Linked DNA regions of Nothobranchius furzeri. The protein of the gene in region 4 purifies or fractionates together with the protein of the main gene of each other region. This does not show direct contact. Links are inferred from orthologs where the notes say so. Each region holds a gene or a part of one and is shown on either strand. Other genes may lie near its edges. The genes, in order: tarbp2, tnrc6c1, dhx9, ago2 and gemin4.

What was found.
Region 1: the proteins of ago2 (region 4) and tarbp2 purify together in Homo sapiens (co-immunoprecipitation; 10 studies listed by BioGRID and IntAct, with this or other methods). This does not show direct contact. The link is inferred for Nothobranchius furzeri from reciprocal best matches to the Homo sapiens genes AGO2 and TARBP2.
Region 2: the proteins of ago2 (region 4) and tnrc6c1 purify together in Homo sapiens (co-immunoprecipitation; 6 studies listed by BioGRID and IntAct, with this or other methods). This does not show direct contact. The link is inferred for Nothobranchius furzeri from reciprocal best matches to the Homo sapiens genes AGO2 and TNRC6C.
Region 3: the proteins of ago2 (region 4) and dhx9 purify together in Homo sapiens (affinity purification with western blotting; 5 studies listed by BioGRID and IntAct, with this or other methods). This does not show direct contact. The link is inferred for Nothobranchius furzeri from reciprocal best matches to the Homo sapiens genes AGO2 and DHX9.
Region 5: the proteins of ago2 (region 4) and gemin4 purify together in Homo sapiens (affinity purification with western blotting; 4 studies listed by BioGRID and IntAct, with this or other methods). This does not show direct contact. The link is inferred for Nothobranchius furzeri from reciprocal best matches to the Homo sapiens genes AGO2 and GEMIN4.

The regions. Positions count from the first base shown.
Region 1 is NC_091743.1:62,020,035-62,024,039, reverse strand, and holds the start of tarbp2 (RISC-loading complex subunit tarbp2), read right to left. Parts: upstream 2,816-4,005; 5' UTR 2,673-2,815; coding exon 2,620-2,672; intron 1,837-2,619; coding exon 1,522-1,836; intron 1,361-1,521; coding exon 1,291-1,360; intron 1,181-1,290; coding exon 1,063-1,180; intron 947-1,062; coding exon 819-946; intron 656-818; coding exon 460-655; intron 366-459; coding exon 208-365; 3' UTR 1-207. UniProt on the Homo sapiens protein: Required for formation of the RNA induced silencing complex (RISC). Component of the RISC loading complex (RLC), also known as the micro-RNA (miRNA) loading complex (miRLC), which is composed of DICER1, AGO2 and TARBP2.
Region 2 is NC_091752.1:53,964,054-53,967,568, reverse strand, and holds part of tnrc6c1 (trinucleotide repeat-containing gene 6C protein), read left to right. Parts: coding exon 1-59; intron 60-149; coding exon 150-314; intron 315-1,296; coding exon 1,297-1,473; intron 1,474-1,591; coding exon 1,592-1,741; intron 1,742-2,558; coding exon 2,559-2,777; intron 2,778-3,515. UniProt on the Homo sapiens protein: Plays a role in RNA-mediated gene silencing by micro-RNAs (miRNAs). Required for miRNA-dependent translational repression of complementary mRNAs by argonaute family proteins.
Region 3 is NC_091751.1:34,756,111-34,758,674, forward strand, and holds part of dhx9 (ATP-dependent RNA helicase A), read right to left. Parts: intron 624-2,564; coding exon 512-623; intron 442-511; coding exon 280-441; intron 1-279. UniProt on the Homo sapiens protein: Multifunctional ATP-dependent nucleic acid helicase that unwinds DNA and RNA in a 3' to 5' direction and that plays important roles in many processes, such as DNA replication, transcriptional activation, post-transcriptional RNA regulation, mRNA translation and RNA-mediated gene silencing.
Region 4 is NC_091751.1:26,608,881-26,613,099, reverse strand, and holds the start of ago2 (protein argonaute-2), read left to right. Parts: upstream 1-1,405; 5' UTR 1,406-1,595; coding exon 1,596-1,611; intron 1,612-3,254; coding exon 3,255-3,302; intron 3,303-4,219.
Region 5 is NC_091753.1:62,516,050-62,520,168, forward strand, and holds the start of gemin4 (gem-associated protein 4), read left to right. Parts: upstream 1-1,309; 5' UTR 1,310-1,405; coding exon 1,406-1,415; intron 1,416-1,748; coding exon 1,749-3,713; intron 3,714-3,802; coding exon 3,803-3,959; intron 3,960-4,032; coding exon 4,033-4,119. Other genes in the region: dhrs13b.2 (tapasin-related protein), read right to left, coding at 1-88, 183-458, 533-709, 814-859. UniProt on the Homo sapiens protein: The SMN complex catalyzes the assembly of small nuclear ribonucleoproteins (snRNPs), the building blocks of the spliceosome, and thereby plays an important role in the splicing of cellular pre-mRNAs.

The DNA.
Region 1 (4,005 bases), on a different chromosome or scaffold from region 4:
AGTGGGTTTGAGTTTTAGGCTGTGAGATTTTCACCAGCTGGACAACAAATGAACTAGAGATAAACTTGTGTTTAGCTTCAAGGCAGGATAAAAATGTCTCTTAACCAATCTGAGGTCAAAAAGCCTCTACTGTACAACAAGGAGGTGTACATTGGCATCGCGTGGTGGCGAGTTCGGGTCTGCGGACAAAAAACGCGCCCAGGTGTCTCATTTTCCTCCTGCCATGATTTTAAGGTACTGCAGTGCATTGTGAGCCGCGTGGGCTCGAGCAGCTTCTACGTTCGGAGCAAAGCCATGACACACAGTGATGGGTTGTGTGGACAGCTCCACCAGACACTGACAGCGGCCGCTGAGGCTGCGCTCCTCTGAAAAACAAACAAGCATGGATGTGAAGAAAAAAAACGAGGAGTTTCTAACCGCTTTACGGTGCTCCTGTTGTGCTGTTGAGCGTGAGCTCACCGAGGTCGAGGTAACTGACATCAAAGCGCTGCTCCACGGACAGGTCGCTCAGCAACGAGCAGAAGTTGGAGCCAGCTGGCATTCCCAGAGGGTGGCTGCGGAGCTGCAGGATCTTCTCTCCAGCAGAGTTACGCAGAGAATCCCAGGTGCAGCTGAAACTTTTGCTTTTACCCGACTCCGCTCTGCTGCCCATGTGCTGCGTAAATGGGATGATTTTATACACGTTTTACACAGACACAGTAGAGCCAAGCAGAGAAGCTTCATCACCATAACATGGGCACAGTTTGTGATATTTTGAGAATTGCACAAGAAATTTAAGCGCAAGCATATAAATCACTGCTGTGGTGTTTAGCTCTCACCAAATTGAAGGTATCTTCTTCTGCATCTGCCTCGTTGCTGCTCCTCAGGTCCACTGGAACGTCGTGGATCCGTGAGAGCATCTTAGCGGCTGCATTCCTCTTGGCTAACTTCTTAGATGTGCCACTTCCTGGACAGGAAAAAGGAAATCACTCCTTCACTTGGCATAAAAGCAGATTTTGACAAATCCAATTGAGCGTGAAAGCACAACATGCAGATATCAAACAAGAATGAGAGAAGATTTACCAATTTCTACAAATCTCTCCACTCTGCAGGTCATGGTAAACTCTTTTCGATGTGCTGGACCCGACTCCTGAGTGACCGTGTACTCTGGCAAACGCCATCCTTTCTGCACCACCAACTCCTGAAGTAAATCAAAACAGAAAAAAAAAGGAAGGAAACTATAGAAATATTCTAACAGAAACCAGTGTTGTGGATTACCAGGATAAAATAAAGTCTCTATGGCGTAGTTACCTGCAGCGCCCCAACGGGGTTACATTCCGACTGTTGAGAACTGCTGGAAGTCTTCATCTCTGACTGAGAGCTGCATAAAACATGAGAGGACAGACTAAATCCACACAAATCTCTCTCTTCCATCAACTCAATGTTGAAACATCGTCTGGATCCAATCAAGACAAGCCATTAAGCATCACTTAAGCATCGCTAGGTTCTTTTCTACATTTTAAAATGAAGTAGGGTCCTGACCAGTCTCCGTCAATAGACACATCAACCTCGATAAACACGTCTTCTCCGACAGCGACTCCAGCTGGATCTCCGAGGCTTCCTTTGAGCATCTTCAGAGCAGCCTCAGCTGCTTTGTGCTTAGCTGCCTTCTTGCTGGGCCCTTGGCCGGTGCAGCTGATCTCTCCGACGGAGACGCGGAATGTGAAGTTGGGCTGGTGGGCCTGTCCCTCCGCCTTCAGCAGGTCGTACACTGGGGTTTTGCCTATCCGCGTTCCATACTCCTGCAGCAGACTGATGGGCGTCTTTCCAGGATTCACAGCCAGCATTTGCTCAATACTATTTAAAAGATAGAAAGCATAAGCAGCTGTTCACTTATTTTGTTATCATCTTTACTGAGATCAAAACACAACAATGTGGCTAGTTTATTGCTGCTAAAATCTAAAGGGCATACGCTACAATGTTCAGTGGAAAAACTACACTTGTCTATATTTTAGTTTCACGAAATGCAACAAGAAATAGGAAAAGTGTGCCATCTTTAAGGCTCAATCTGTGAAATATGTTTCCAAGAAAAAAAATACTATTATTTGCCAAATGAATACTGACCCAAATAATAAGTGTGGTGTTTTGAGGTGAGATTCTTCACAGTGTACAAAGGAAATGGGCACAAACCAATAAAACTCTATTATTTACATTATCAGAGTAAAAGAAGGCACTTTTATTCAATGATTTATTTGTGAGGCGGCAGCTACAGCCATCTGGAATGAAGATTTGAACCAGAAATGTTTGCAATCAGCTTATTTTATTACATATATTACAAATGGAATAAAGAGATTTGTGTAATTTATGCCGATCTTTACATTTAGGAAAACATTATATTAGTGTTTTTGACCACCTGTTGCCTTCCAGATTACAATAATCCCTCAAAAATCAACCTAGCAGTAAAAAGCCACCAGATAAAGAGTATTAACGATGAGTCAAACAGTTAAGCTGTAGAGATTAAAAGAATAACAGAAGATTAAACACTTAAAACAACATGCACGCGTTAGTTTCTGAGGCCTTTGACTCTGACATTTTATATTGTTTACATACAAATGGCTTTTATCAAGAAGACAATCCCACCTGGAGTCCCCGGAGTTTCTCTTCCAGCTATCCGAAGCTGTCTCGTCGTTCATTCCCCGTTTCGCGCAGACAGAACCGCTCGGTTTCGGATGTAAAATCCCCCCCGCCACAACAGACACGTACTCTCATTAGACGGTATTTATTGTTGTCCCAAAACGATGAGCTAAAGCTGCAACATGATGGATACCAGAAGACGAAACCACCTCTACAGCGACAACCTCGGTCACACGATTATGACGTAGATTGCGTCCTGGGCAGCGTAAGCCCCGATTGGCCCAAATGCCTTCTGTGCCTCAGAAGGTGGGAATGACACTCATCAAGCATTCATCCCTAAATATACTGATGGGTCGAAAGTGTCAGGAAATATAACGGGATTTTCTTTCTGGATTCCGACATTAAGTATATATTATAAAAGTCGAACATCTAATAATCTGTCAGTTTATACAGTGGAAATGTTAGCCATTTCATTTAGTTTACAGTGGATAGAACAAAATGGTGTTAGGAAAAGTATTATTTGCTCAGACTCCATGTCAGCATTGTTATCAATTAAAGAAATGTCAGCTGATAAGAGGTCAGATATTTTGTATGAAATATTTGAGTGCATGTTTAGGTTAGGTTATACAAAAGGTATAATGATTTCTTATTAATAAAACCTTGTTGCAGCACTAAAGCAGAAAAATGAGATTTTGCAAGAAATATGCTAAATATTTACATATGAATTGTTTTAGAGCCGTTTTATTGGCAGAATCTGATATTAATTTAGTTCTTACAAAAAAATGGGTCCCAACGTGGTTTGTGTGGCGTTGCCATAGTGTGACGTCATAGGCACAGATCCCCTGTCCTCTTGTTTGGAAATGGAAATATGATCACCCTACATTAAACAAACTGTCCACCCGGGCTTTTGCGCTGCACAGAGATGCTTCGCTGCCTATGACTTTGAACGCCAGTTGAGAGTCAGTCTCATTCAGACTGACCAATGAAGAGAGGGCCTCAAGTTTAGACCCTCTCCTCATTGGTCATTCCACACGAGGTGGGTCAAAGGTTACCCTGAGCGGGTTACATGATGTCAGGCATTCAAGTATTGAGTATATTTACTGCATATTACAGTAAAATATTCTGTATGTGACCATATTATGGTGATCCTTGGGTCGTGATGATGGGGACCTTTAATATTGTTGCCCAGGGTACAACTAAGTGTTAATCTGACCCTGGGAGCGGAGGTAGTGACTAACACAGCACGTCAGCTCTGTCTTATCAAATGCACCAAGTAAGTTACGAAAAAAGTAACTTTAAATATTCAACCGAAAAAGAGGCGAGCTGAAGAAAACCTAGGGATTACTGAAGAAACGTGAGCAACATTGAAGCAATCACAGCGAGATCCGTTAC
Region 2 (3,515 bases), on a different chromosome or scaffold from region 4:
CGACCTGCAGACCAAAGAGCCGCAGTCATCCCCCAACACCTACAGCCCCTATGCTCTCTGTGAGTGGCAGGAAGTGTTGATCTGTGACGGTGAGAGGGATCCGATTGCTGAGCATCATTTGTAACATCGGTCTTTCTCTTTCTCCTCAGCTGGACTGAATCCAAACCTGAATCCAAACTGTATCGATGTGGGAAGTCTTCCTCTGAAAGAACCCCCGCAGCCCCAGTCGCGGCTGTCTCAGTGGACACACCCGAACTCCATCGAAAGTCTGTCTGGACACGCCTCTGCTCTTGAGCCCAATCTGGGAAAGCACGGTGAGGAAAACCACAAGATCCAGCTCATCAAGCAGCCTGATGTTTCAGTAAAAGCGGTTTCATTCTGTGAGTCGTCAGTTTCCATAAAGTCCTGGAAGATCAAGAATCAACAGAAATCTTTCAAAACGTAGATCAGGAAATCATGTTTGTATCCTACAAATCATTATTAAATGTATAATTATTATAATTAAAGGAGCATTACGTACAAATTTTACAGTGAAATAATCGCAAAACAGTTTAATGTCTCAGTCAGCGACTCTTAGCCAGCTGGGGGGTTGTCAGTTTTTCTCTCTTTCAAAAACTAAAGAGGGACGCGGTTACTGTTTACAAAGCGTTTGTGAGGTTGCCATGTCTCAGGTGAGCCAACACTGCAGCGCTGGCATTTGTAATTTGACACTGGTCGGCAAAAAGCTCCAGAGATCCTAAGCCAGGTAACAGGAGTAACCGAGAAGTTATTTCTTGTACTTCTAAGAAACCACGACATCTTTTTGTTTTACGCTAATATCTGGTGATTCAGGCTAGAAGCTAACGTTGAGCTAACAATGAATTAGAAGCAAATAGTCGGCTATAAAAATATCTCAAGCAACTTTTTCGATTACCAAAAACTCTGTTACATTGAAACGTGTGTGTGAAGTGAATAATGACTCGGTTGTGGTGTTTTACTTCTTTTAATGAGTCATTCAGAGCTCAAACAGCAAGACGGCGCTGGAGAAATATTACCGTAATAATTGTAGTAAGTGCTCCCTAGCGTAAAACACCCAAAGGTACTAGCACCCAATATGGTAATGCATTTATCAACTTACTTACAACTGACTCGTCGTTGCTTGTCATCTAGAATCTTCGGTGCTGATTCGTTACTGACGTCAGCCATGATGGCTTAGGAAAATGGACTGCAGTTACCTCATTTGACCACATGATGTCATTCTCACTTCATTTTTACATGTTTCACCTTTAAGTAAAGCCATTTGTTTTGTCTGGGTAGGTGCCCCCCTGGGGCCTCCTGGGAAGCCCCCCCAGATGGACGACTCGTACCACCACTACAACCTGATGTCCAGCTCCGAGTCTCCTACAAGCCCGCTGGTCCCCCCCGAAAGCTGGGGGCAGGGCAAGAACAGCAGCGACAAGATGGCAAATGGGACCAACATCAACTGGCCACCAGGTTAGAAAACGTCTACTGTCACATCATGTTTGTGGGTACTTCAGAATGCGTACTTTTACTTTATTCCCTTCGGAGTTTGAAATCGTCGTGAGTGAAAGTAAACAAAAACTTGTTTCAGAGTTTTGTCCCGGCGTTCCCTGGAAGGGGCTACAGAACATCGACCCTGAGACTGACCCTAACGTGACCCCAGGCAGCGTCCCCAGTGGACCCACCATCAACACCAACATCCAGGATGTCAACCGCTACCTGCTGCGGGACAGGAGTGGAGGTCAGACCAACCGCCAGTGGCTGCTTGTGTTTCATACGTTTATGTTGAATAATATGTCTCTTTGAAGATCCGGCTGAAGAGTTTAAAAGATACCTGAAAAATCAATAAACTGAATTTCCTATTTTAAAAAAGTATCAGAGGTTTTAAACCTATCCGGGATCCTGCTGCTGCTTCTTTTCTTCTTTATTTTCCTGCTTTAACTGCTTCTATTTCCATTTTCACCCACTTGAACCTCAGTGATCTTATCATTTGTAGTGCCTTTTTTTTTCTTTGCTCCATTTCCTCTCTTGCTACTTTTTCCTTATTTGTGTTTGTCTGTTGGTGTCGCTGGCGTCGCCTCAGGCTCCTCCCCCACTTCATCTCAGAACGAGGCTCTGCCTCCTTCCGCTGATTGGCCGGTCAGTGCCTACACTAGCTCGTTCAGTCTCTCGTCCCCGGAGATGGACGAAGCAGGTACATGGTTTACCCACAACCCTCTCCCCTCACCCTGCAGTGACCGTGTGGTCCAGAGCTCTAACCCTGCCCCCCCCAAGCCGCTACTCCTGAGCATGATTTTCATTTGAAAGGTCAGCGGTGTTAGCAAAGCAGTCCCTTCTAGTGCCTGGACAGTGTGAAGCAGAGGAGATGCTAGGTTAGTTTACAGCTGACTATGAACAGCTTTCATTCGTTCTGTCTGCTTCTCTTCATAAAAGAATGGGAGATATGTGGTGGTTGTAGATTTGTGGAAAAGTGTTACTTTTTCATTAGATGTGTCCCTAACCAGAGAACCTGCAGCTCTGGGTTCTGCAGACCAACCGTCCTCCATGTTTCCATCCAGGTAAACTGTCGGAGATGAAATCAACCTGGTCCCCAGGCCCCATCTCTCACAGCCAGCCGTCTCTGTCCCACGAGCTTTGGAAGGTCCCTCATGGCCCGCGGAGCAGCACCACCGCCCCCTCCCGCCCTCCGCCCGGCCTCACGAACACGAAGCCCTCCTCCACCTGGGGCGGGAACTCTCTGGGTCTGAGCCAAGGCTGGAGCAGCTCCTACACCACAGGTACGTCACACCCTTCATGTCTCTAATCTGCTGAAAATCAGCTCCGCGCTGTTTAATGATGAACATGAGGCGTTCAACTCTTATCTACTGGTTTACGTCAGAGTTATTATCCCACTCAATCCAGTAGCAGATGGAACTGATGAAGCTGTGATGAACGACTGGACACTTGAAGATGATTTGCTGCAGATTTCCACATCATAAATGAAGACGACGATCTAAGACGGGGCATCTAAGGCTACGTTCACACTGCAGGCCTTGATGCTCAATTCCGATTTTTTTTTTGAGTAAACCAGATTTTTTTGTGTGGCTGTTCACATCATGACTGAAATACAACATCAGATTCTCTCCAGTGTGAACGCTCCTCGGCCCCAAAGAGACCCGTGAAAACTTTCATACCTGTTAATTCTTCCGTTTTGGGCTGGAAACTGTTTTAAAAACTGTAAACTATTTTACTCCTTGTTCCCGCCATCTCCCTGAATTAGTATTTATAGAAAATGTTCCGGTATTAATTCCTTCACGGAGAATCCTCCTCCCTCCCTCCCTCCCTCCCTTCACGGAGACGGAGACCGGTGAGACGCGTCGCTCCAGCAGCACCTCCCGTTCCCGTTCACATTCTCTCTTTTTAATTCCAAAACTTAAAACAGGAAGTCCCGACAGACTCCTGAACCCTTCTGTCAGCGCTTCTCCTCGGGATCATGCACGCACGACGCTCACCTCCGCTGACTCAGTGACGTAGGA
Region 3 (2,564 bases), about 8.1 Mb from region 4:
CCGGTACAACGCCCGCATCACTGCAGATGCAGCACCAATCTGCCTATCGATCTCACGCTCCAGTTTTCCCTCACTCGTGAACAAGACCCAGAGATACTTAAACTCCTCCACTTGGGGCAGGACCTCATCCCTGACCCAGAGAAGGCATTCTACCCTTTTCCGAATCAAGACCAGATTATATATTTATTTATATAAAAACAAAACATGAAGCCACCAAAAGACTGATGAGGGATCAGGTGAAGATCCAGAAGGTAATTAAAACCTTTGAGGCTCACTCACCTCACGTCGTCCCAGGCCTGGAAGACCGACAGCAGCGCCACGTGATCCGAGAAGCGGTTCCCCGAAAAGTTCCTGTGGACGAATCCGAGGCGTCTCCCATCGCTGATGAACGGCTCCGGAAAACAGGAGGCGGCTGAGATGGTGCACATGGCATCTCCAACACTGAGGGGAGAAACACGTCAGTCACCCCATATCAGAGGCAACAAGTCAGGAGAACCAGAGAGGAACCCACTAAAAGATGCAGCCCATGATCATCATCTTCCCCAGCCGAGGTTCGATGGGCAGCCGAGCCAGAATCCGACCCAAAGGAGTCAGCTCATCGTTGGAGTCCAGAGCGTCCAGCTCTGCAACACAAAGGTTAAATCAGCTCAAACCACCGAAGCATCCCACAGATTACCACCAGGTGTTCCAGTAATGCCTCCGTTAGAAAGCCCCTCCCACCTCTGGTCCGGGTACCCCTAGTGTAGCACACGGTGGACGGTTTCATACGCACGAGTCGCACTAATAAGCACCAACATGGAGCCCAGCTCGGGTCCCAATATGAGAGGAACCCGATGTGCAGCTCCCGTCCAACGAGGGCAGCTTTAACTGGTTCGATCAGGGGACTTTCTGGTCTCCAGTCACTCTGCTGGTCACCTGCTGCCTGATGAGGGGATTGCTCCTGGAAGGAACAGGTGAGCTGCTGCAACAAGCTTCCGTTTCAACAGAAACACACGACATGTGATGTCACATGCTCAAGATCCCGCCCCCAGCTTCTGGTAAAGTACAGTCAAGTGTTTTTTTCTACACGATTCCCTTTCCTTCACAAGGAAACTCAGATTTCACAGATATGACAACATGAGTTCAAGGGAGTCTTTCCAACATCAGAACATCCTTTTCTTTAACACCAAATATCACAAGCTGTTTCAACTAAACAATCAACGCCATGGCGGCGTCAGGGAGCCTTAGGTCGTTTTTAGGTGGTCAGACCGTGGCAGTACTGTGGCGGCATAACGGTGGTATAGGGCAGTCTCTGCGCTGCCACGGACTTCCGTTAGTTTTTACTGCAATTGAAGCCACGATGGTTACGTATTTTTTAACAAGCCGCTCCTAACTGTGTCCGTCCTCCACAGCCCCGGTGTGGTCTCTGGTGATCTGAGCTCCAGCTCTAACGGAGAGAAGCTCTTGGATGGCTGCAGCCTTCACTCTGCTGTCTCAGCTGTTTTTGTTCAAAACGCAAAACTTGCAGTCGGAGTTTACTTTCATTTTCTATCGAGTTGCTGGCCGGAGCTCGGCATTAACTCCCTACGTCATCATGACGCCTCCCTCTGTCGCGCCGTCTATTAGGCAGACAATTACCGCATTATTACCAAGCGGGCCGAACGAATGATGCTAAATTTGTGCAACGCCATGCCGGTAAGGTGTGTTTGTAAGACACAGAGACACTGAGAGGCGCCGAGCAGGGCTGGGCATACTAGTTGCCCCCCATCTTGGTGCCTGTGCGTTGGGGTTTACCCCAGTGAATGAGAGGGTAGCCTCCCTCCGCTTACGTGTGGGGGGATGGGTGTGCTTTTGCACCAAACTACAGTTCAGACTACACACTCTTTTTGGAGACCCTGGAGGGGGTGCCGGAGAGCGCTCCTTCTGGTGACTCCCTCGTTCTGCTGGGGGACTTTAACGCTCATGTGGGCAACGACAGTGAGACCTGGAGAGGTGTGGTTGGGAGGAACGGCCATGATCTGAATTCGAGTGGTGTTTTGTTATTGGACTTCTGTGCCAGTCATGGATTGTACATAATGAACACCATGTTCACACATAAAGGTGTCCATATGTGCTCTTGACACCAGGATACCTCAGGCCGAAGCCCGATGATCGACTTTGTTGTTGTTTCATCTGACCTGCAGCCGCCTGTCTTGGACACTCGGGTGAAGAGAGGGGCGGAGCTGTCAACTGACCACTACCTGGTGGTGAGTTGGCTTCGATGGTGGGGGAGGATGCCCATCAGACCAGTCACTGGACCGACCGTGGAACACTGGACCAGCTCTATACCCTTAGGGGGATCCTGGAGGGTGCGTGGGAATTTGCCCAACCAGTCTACATGTGTTTTGTGGATTTGGAGAAGGCGTTTGACTGCGTCCCTCGGAGGGGCCCTGTGGGGGCTACGCCGGGAGTATGGGGTACCAGGCCCTCTGTTATGGGCTGTTAGGTCCCTGTATGACCGGTGTCAGAGCTTGGTCCGCATTGCCGGCAGTAAGTCGGGCTCGTTACCAGTGAAAGTTAGACTCCGCCAAGGCTGCCCTTTGTCA
Region 4 (4,219 bases):
AGTGGCTGAACTAGTCTGTCCAAAAAAGAAAAGGTGAAGTGGATGCAGTGGTCCATCAGGTCCTTATAGGCTATGAATCATAGAAATCTGCTCAGTGTCTTAACATTTTCTGCTTCAACGAATTTCTGTTAATTTAGACACAGTAAAAGGACCACATTACCTGCATGTGCATCATGTACATCACACTTCATGACTGATAACCGCTGCAAAATGTAAAAACCCTTTTTGGTTCATCATAATGTAAATTTGTCTGCCTTTGTTACCAAAAACCGTAGTTTGAGTGCATCCGAACCTACATCATAACACGGAGCCAAACAGCCTGTTTCCCATCAAAAACAACGTGATTTGTCCCTCTGTGTCCCTGAGACGGAATGGAGACACGTCTAGGGTGTCCTCCACCTCTCATCTAATGACTGCTTGATATAGTCACTAGACATTTTGAAAATTAATAAACATGTGTGTGTGTGTAACTCGTCATGAAAAAAGAACAAACACATATAAATAGTCCCTGAACCTCTATACTGTCTGTGTAATCAGTTCTCCTCATATCATTTTAGTGTTTTATTCATAATCAACTTCTGACATGCGCACTTTACACCAAGCAAGTTTTAATTAAATATTTTCACCATCAAAATATAAAAAGCAAACCACAAACAAGTTGATTTCAGATTGCTGAAGCTTCCCATATCACATTAAATGTTTTAATGCATAGCAAACTAAAATGTGTATTTCAGCCGCTTTATTACCCCGGAAATACTTCTTCGGTCTTTAAGTTGTTCCTGTGACTTTTTCTTTTTAGTGACTTTTAAATGATACGCATCGGATATCAGTTTAATGATGTCGCATCAAAGTTTAGCTCTGATGAAAAATGAAAGAATAGTTTTTCCGAATTTTCGCTTTTGATTCGGATGGACGCTAAGAGCGCGCAACGTGCGTCTGATGTCACTGAACCTTCCCGCTGGCAAGATAAACCTCCCCATTCATGAGCATTAACTTTTCCACCATGATCGAGCCAAATAACACTGTTAAAGATAACGAGCGATGTTTGAATGAGTTAGCGACAAATTGGTAGAGACGATGTATCAGAAAAACTTATTTATTCAAGTAGAAAAACACTAGAATTCCTGAACGTGCAGCTCTTTTTTTCAGTCTGATAGTGAGGAGTAATTCATTAACATTTTCATTTATGTTTGTGCAGTTTCAAAGTTAGCTCATTCAAATTACATTTCTGACATGTGAATCCAATAAACTGATTAAATCATGATTCTATGTCAGATAATATGACACAAAACAGAAGCTTTGATCGGTTTTGAGAACGAAAGCCCAACAGCGGAAGTGGACGACAGCGAGTTCTCTTGCCCCGCAGGGATTTCAATGCCTCCGTTCGTCTCTGCTCTCGTTTTGTGTTGGGGGGATGGGGTCGTGCAGAGGATGAGAGACTCCAATATTTACCACTTGGCTAACTAAACTTCTTTATCTTCACCTTAGTTTGTTGGAAATACCCAAGTCTGTAGGTTCTGTGTGAGGTTAGGCGGAGGTTGGTCTTCTAAAAGTGGAGTACCGGTCGTCCACCATACGCTCAAAAAGTCGACAAAATGTATTCAGCTGGAGGTAAGTGCTACTAACCATTAGCATCGACTAAGTGGATGATGGATTTCTTTCCAGAACGGCATCAATCTACTGCCGATACATTCTCCGGTTTTGTTTTAATTAACTTATTATTATAAAATAAGTTCTTCAACGAATGATGCATCCTCGACTTAGTGGAGGCGTTAGTACCAAAAGCGAGTTTAGCTGCATTAGCCAAGTTAGCTTTAGCGGCACCTCGTTTCCCCAACTTGGTAAACTTCCTCTGCCCTTAAACGAGGTGGAATGCAGTCACTCGACAAACTGTATAATATTCAACACACATGGTGGGTTTTATTTGCTTTTTTCTTTAAAAGCTGCCACATGCTAACAGTAGCATTTAGCGGCAGCTCATGCTTCCTAATCTCAATCACAAATCATACAAATGGTTACCATAAATGTGTCAAATGAATAGGTTTAAGTTCATTTACATTCTACATCATTTCCCACAAAATTTGTAAAAAATCGAGAGTTGGAGCAATTTTGCTCGCATCCTAAGCAAAGATGGGACGATGTATGTAAACAAAACCAGAATGCAAGCATGTGTTTGTCACGTAAGACCACATTTTTAACATCCGACACAAATACAGCAAATCATAAATATAATTTCTGGGAAAAGGGATGATTTCTGCTTTGAACCACAAGCTCGTTAGAGTAAAGTGGGGATAACTAATGACGTTTGGCTCATGGGCAACAACAAGTTAGCTTGATTGGGTTCAAATTAACATCTGTCATATAACTCATTCTCACTCTCACACACACACACACACACACACACACACACACACACACACACACACACACACACACACACACACACACACACACACACACATATATATATATATATATATATATATATATATATATATATATATATATATATAGACATGTTTCATCTACATTTTATTAAGACATTAAGAATGTTTCTTTTTGGCAGGGCAGGTGGTAATTAAGTTTATTTATTCTTTATTTAACCAGGAAGGTCCCATTGAGATTAAAAACTTCATTTTCAGGGGAGTCTTGGGATTGGTTAAAAAATATATAATCAACAGTTGAATAATGGCGATTAGTTATCTGCTTAAATGCTGAGGTAGGAAGGAAAATGCAGAAATTTAACGAGAAAAGTTTATAAGCAGTTTAACTTTTTTATGCAGAGGCTGAAAATAATCACCTCTGCCATATTTCATTTGCATCTATACCTTCAGGCATTTGTTCTTCTCCATGAGCCTTATTGAAATAAAACTAAACAATGAGCTGAACTGTATCAGTTCTGGGCTGTTTCCTTATGAACGGGTGGCTACATTTATGCTAGATTACCAGCTCGTTTCATCCCGTCTGTGTGTTTGTAGATTAGACATACTTCATTGCAGACGATGGTGCTGGCCGGGATGTGATAAAAGACCGTCTGAAATAGTTAACGATGTTCTGAATTAAAAAATATTTAAAATGGGAGATTTTTTTTCTTTTTTCCAGGTTTTTTATAAAGATTTCTGACTCTATTTGCATTTAATGCTGTAAAACTAGATTTCTGTTTTGTGTTGGGTGCTTTTTTTTGTTTAAGTACAGAGTACTTGAGTCCAAGTTGGATCTTAAACATTTCTAACGTATAATTTTATCCCCTCTAGGTGCTGAGGTTATGGAGAGGCCACATTCTTCTGGGTCCATAAGCTCTGGTAAGCTTTCTTACTTCTAAGCTCTGGTCCCAGGAGAAACATGATATATTAAAAAAAAATATATATATAAATATATATATATATATATTACACCTTTCTGTCATAATGAGATGCACTCTACACAGTTTAACTTCTGATTAGATTATTAAATTATCTACAGAGTATTTCAGCAGGGCTTTGGAGCTTATACCTGTGAAATGCTGATTTTTTTTTCTGTGAAGGACTTTGTATGTCTTATACTGATGTAGTCATTTAAGCTTTGTTCAGCCAAAACGCAAAGTGCTGATGTCATGTGAGCCGTTTACTCACATCCAGGGTATCCGCGGGTCCTTAAAAAGTCTTAAATTTACTTTTCCAAATTTAAGGCCTTGAAAATCCTTAAAAATGACAAATAATCCTTAAATCCAGTTTCCAATGGTCTTAAATTACCAAAGACCCAATAAACAAGATTATTTTATTTCTATAAAAATTTTCGTGAATTTCTAAATTTGGCTCCCTTAAACCTGCAGATACCCTGCACATCTTATAAAAACTCCACATGTTTCTATTAAATTGACACCAGAGACAATTCTGAGATGCTTCTCTTTGTGGTGTAAGAGTCCTGGGGGGAGAAAGCACGTCACTGGTGTTTCAGTCAGCTGGTCGTCTGCTCGGTGCATCAGGGTCATCGAAGGGTGTTTGTATGAATGACCAGAACTGGAGAGTGGAGATAAGGCAGTGAAGGAGTCTGTGTCTGTTCTGACACACTCCGATATCACAGGACCTCTAGAATAATCAGCTCCCATTAATAATAATAATAACAACCTGTTTATTTTCCTGGCTGTGCTTATAGGAATACCTCAGTGTGGATAACTGAATGTGCTGGCCACTGAAACTCCCAGTAAATTAAAGAAATGTCTAGTTTTTTCTTTTTAACA
Region 5 (4,119 bases), on a different chromosome or scaffold from region 4:
TGGTCCACACTAAACTGGCAGTGGAGCTTTTGTTCAGATCTCAGGCTGGTTTTCACCAGTGGTGTTTCTGTTTTCATTACCATGGCAACTGTGAGACCAGATGGACAAAGACAGAACACAGAGAAACACCATCAAAGAACCAGAACTGGAGCTGTTGGCATTATGGAGTGAAACTAACTGACCTGATGTAGTGAGCATCTGTCCATCAGTGATGGGAACCCAGCTGAGGTAGTCCTGCTTTCCTGGTGGAGGCTGGTCAGACGGGTGTCTGAGGAAGCCGAGCACAGTGAAAAGGCCCTGGTTGTGTTTGAGAGAGACGGAGAACCAGTGGTTGTACTCCCTGGCCTTCTGACTGGGCCAGTGGACATAGATGCCCTGTGTGCTGTATCTACGCAGCTCACACTCCAGCTGTTCTGCCTCCACTCCCTCCACATAGTGCCGCATGTCCACCTTGGACCCTGCAGCAGAACACAGAAGAGTAAGGTGCAACCGTTGTCAGGTGTGTAATGGTGACCTGTGTCAGGTGGCTTACCTGTGACCTGAAAAGTGATGGTGCGTAGATCTACAGGAGCTTCTCCTGTCTGACCAAACTGCAGCACAGCATTTCTGGGGATCCGCTGGGTCTCTCTATGTCCTTCATTGTTCATAATCACCTGTTCATCTGTGAAGTGACAGGGCAGCCATAGTATCTGCTGGCTACAGTAGACCCCTGGAGACAGACCAACAACTCAAAGCAGCTGATCCGAGTGGGCTTCCTCCAAAAACACAAACTGTCCCCACACTCGCAGGGATACAAGCCTTCTGAAGACTTACCTGTCCAGATAAAACCGTAAATAAGAATCCTGCAGGGTGGAACCATGGTTATTCATCAGATCTACTGATCCTTGTTCCTGCTTCATTCAGCTGCACATTTATTCTCAGAACACTTTCGCTTTCATTTACAACGAAAAAAAACCTGCTTTGCATGCAGCTGCATCACGTGACGAGCAGAGACAGTTTCACAAGGAGAAATACTGCAAAACACTTTTAAATGTCACTAAAAGCGAGTAACGTTTAAACCATCACACGTAGGGCTGAACCGGTGTTCCGGTCTGGCGGCAGCACTGGTGAACGCGGTGTCTAGTCAACAACGCAAAACCTCGCAACAGTAAAAACAAACCAGTCAACAATCCAACAGAAAAGGCGAGGAAAACAACAACAACAACAACAATAACAACAAGGTGAAGCAGGTTTGGCGGTTTGCTGGGTTAATGCGGCTGCAGTACCGTATCTATCCAGGGGTGGCGCTGTGGGGACGCCTCGCCACCTGACAGCAGCCCGGCTTCCTGCTGGAAACCGGAAGCGCCTTTCCTGGTAACGAACTGGTTCACGAGGCGGGCGGGTGTATGTTCCTGCCTCCGCAGCCATGGACAAAGGTAATTATTAATGTTAGACATGTCTCGTGAACTTGCGCGAGCTTCGTCTCCAGTCGGTAGAGACGAACATGGCGCTAAACGCTCAGGCTGAAGCAGCAAGCTGCAGGTTTGAAGAGCCCTCTCCTAGCCAGTCGTTCGTTCTGGACCTGCTTCACCTGCAGCCTGCCCCCCCTTCACACACACACACACACACACACACACACACACACACACACACACACACACGCACACACACACACACACACACACACACACACACACACACACACACACCTGGATAACGCTGATCTCGGCCCAGCTCGGGTCTCAGCCTGTTGCTTGCCTGTTTTTCAGATTCCGCCGTGCTCCAGGGAGCTTTCCTCCAGGCAGACAAACTGTGCCTCCCCTCATCCCTGTCCCTGATGCAGAAGGCGGACTGGAGTCGTGTGAAGCTCCCGATCCTGCAGGCCCTCAGAGACACCTGTGGGCTGAGCGCTCTGGCCTGGCAGAAGAAGGTTGTTTGTGTGGTGTGGTTGAAGCTGATGAGCAGTGAGGCTGAGGAAGATGTGGAGAAGGGGTGGAGGGACAACCCTTTCTTCTGCCTCCAGAACGGCCTCCCTGACGTAAGCCGGGCTGTTCTGCTGGAGCTGGTGAAGTCACTCTCAGCTGCGCCGGTCTTTGCCCGCTTGCTCCTGCGTCTGCCTCAGCAGCAGATCTGCACCGAGCTGCAAACGCTGGCAGAGCATCTGAGGACGGATCCCAGTCCTGAAGACGTCTGCTTTCTGTTGGAGGTGTGGTGGGAGCTGTGGAAAGGCAGAGACAAATGTCAGACGCAGGAAGACAAAGACTTAGAGATGATGTTTGTCAGCCAGTTTGCACGCCTGTCCTCCGATTGTCCCAGTGTCTCGCCTCAGGCTGCAAAACGCTTAAAGCTGGACCTTCCTGCATCGTCAGCAAACACAGACGTTCTGCACGTTCTCCTCCATGCTCTTAAGAACATGAAAGATCAAGTATCTACTACAGATTTGTGCCTGCAGTCCCTGTTAGTCTGCCTCGACGCTCTTTACACATCCTTCCTAACAGACCCAGAGGTTGTGCTTCCAGTTGAAGAGAAGTTGCTCATCCTCTGTAGGCTTGTTGACACCAGAGGACAGACGCAGGCGTGGAGCCCCAAACTCCTTCAGGAGGCTCTGAGAGACCTGCGTGCTGCTCACTCACCAGCTCCTTTTCAGCCCAGCAGGATGACGCTGAGCCAAGCTTTGAAGATCGTAGCAGAACTCACAGAATTCTGGCTGGAACAGGATCTCCTGAGCGCTCCTGGCTGCTCCGCGTTCCTGCTGCAGCAGAGCGTCCAGAGAGTCCTGGCAGCTCTAGAAGAAACGGGAACATCTGAGCATGTGACTGAGAAGAGCACACTCAGAGGTCTGCTGAGTTCACTGTCTCTTCCTGCCGTAGAGACCCCCCCTCAGGTGCAGGCTCAGGTCGCTGCCACCGTCATCAGTCACCGCCTGGAGGACTGTGAGGAGTTTGCTGCGCTGTTTGCCAGCCAGTTGTCCTGGACTCATGAAGAGCTGTGGGTGGACTGCCTGGAGAAGAACCACACGGCCTTCACGCAGCCCAACACCCTCATCAGCCTCTCCTCCACCCTCGTGAGTCGCCTGCAGCGTGGGAACGTGAACACCACCTGGTGCAGGAGAGCCATTAAAACGGCTGCAGATGTCTTCTCTGCTCTTTCGTTAGAAAACCAGAACAAGGTCCTCGCTGCAGTACCGAGCCGCTCCAGCAGGGGCTTCTTTGGCTGCTCTGTCCCCTCGGCTGTGGCAGACGGCTTTGAGCAAGAGCTGAACATGGCCTTTAACTGCCTTATCCAGGGAGGGGGCGGGGCCTCAGCAGCAGTGTCCCAGGGCCGCCTGACCACAGCAGCCTCTCTGGTAGCTCGAGTGGCCTTTCAGAGCCCAGAGGCGGCTTTAAGGTCCTGCTGCCACGCCGCCGTTTTCAACAGGGGAGCCTTCAGCCTCATGGCAAAGATCCTGCAGCAGCTGCCTGGACTCCGCGGACGGAGGGGAGGGGAGGATGAGGCAAACGGAAACGATGTGGAGCAGCAGGAAGCTGGAGGGCGTGGTAGTCTGTTCTGTAGGTGTTTACAGACGGCGGTCAGAGGCAAGCCACTGTCCGCCTGTGAAAAGGAGCAGCTCCTCAAGTTCCTGTCTCTGCTCATGGCGCCGGGCCCGACGCTCCAGGGAGAGCAAGAGACACAGAGGTTCTTGTCTCCACAGGAGGTGGTCAACACACTGGTCCTGCCTCGCCTCTCAGCTGCAGGTCGGGGTCCATGCTGGCTTTAATCTCATCTGTGTGTGATCTGTAAACGCTCGTCACATTCTGCTGCTGTCCCATCTGTGTTTCTGCAGCTGAAGAGTCCTGCGATGCAGAACTGAGTCTGCAGCTCCTCCACGCTGCTTTGGCTGTGGGTGTCCAGGAAGTAGCCCCCTCCCCTCACTGGGTGTTGGACTGCTCTCCCTTCCCCCTCCTCTATATTCTGGCCCAGCAGTACAACCAGACTCTCATGTGTGTATGATCCCGTGTGTGTGTGTGTGTGCAGCGGTTGTTGTTGGGCTTCTACTCATCTGATCTCTGTTAGGTGCTGGGAGCGGTCGTCGGAGGACAGCGACCACCTGAGCTCCATGGACACCAAGGAGCTGCTGGAGTCGGTGCTGAGCTTGCTGGG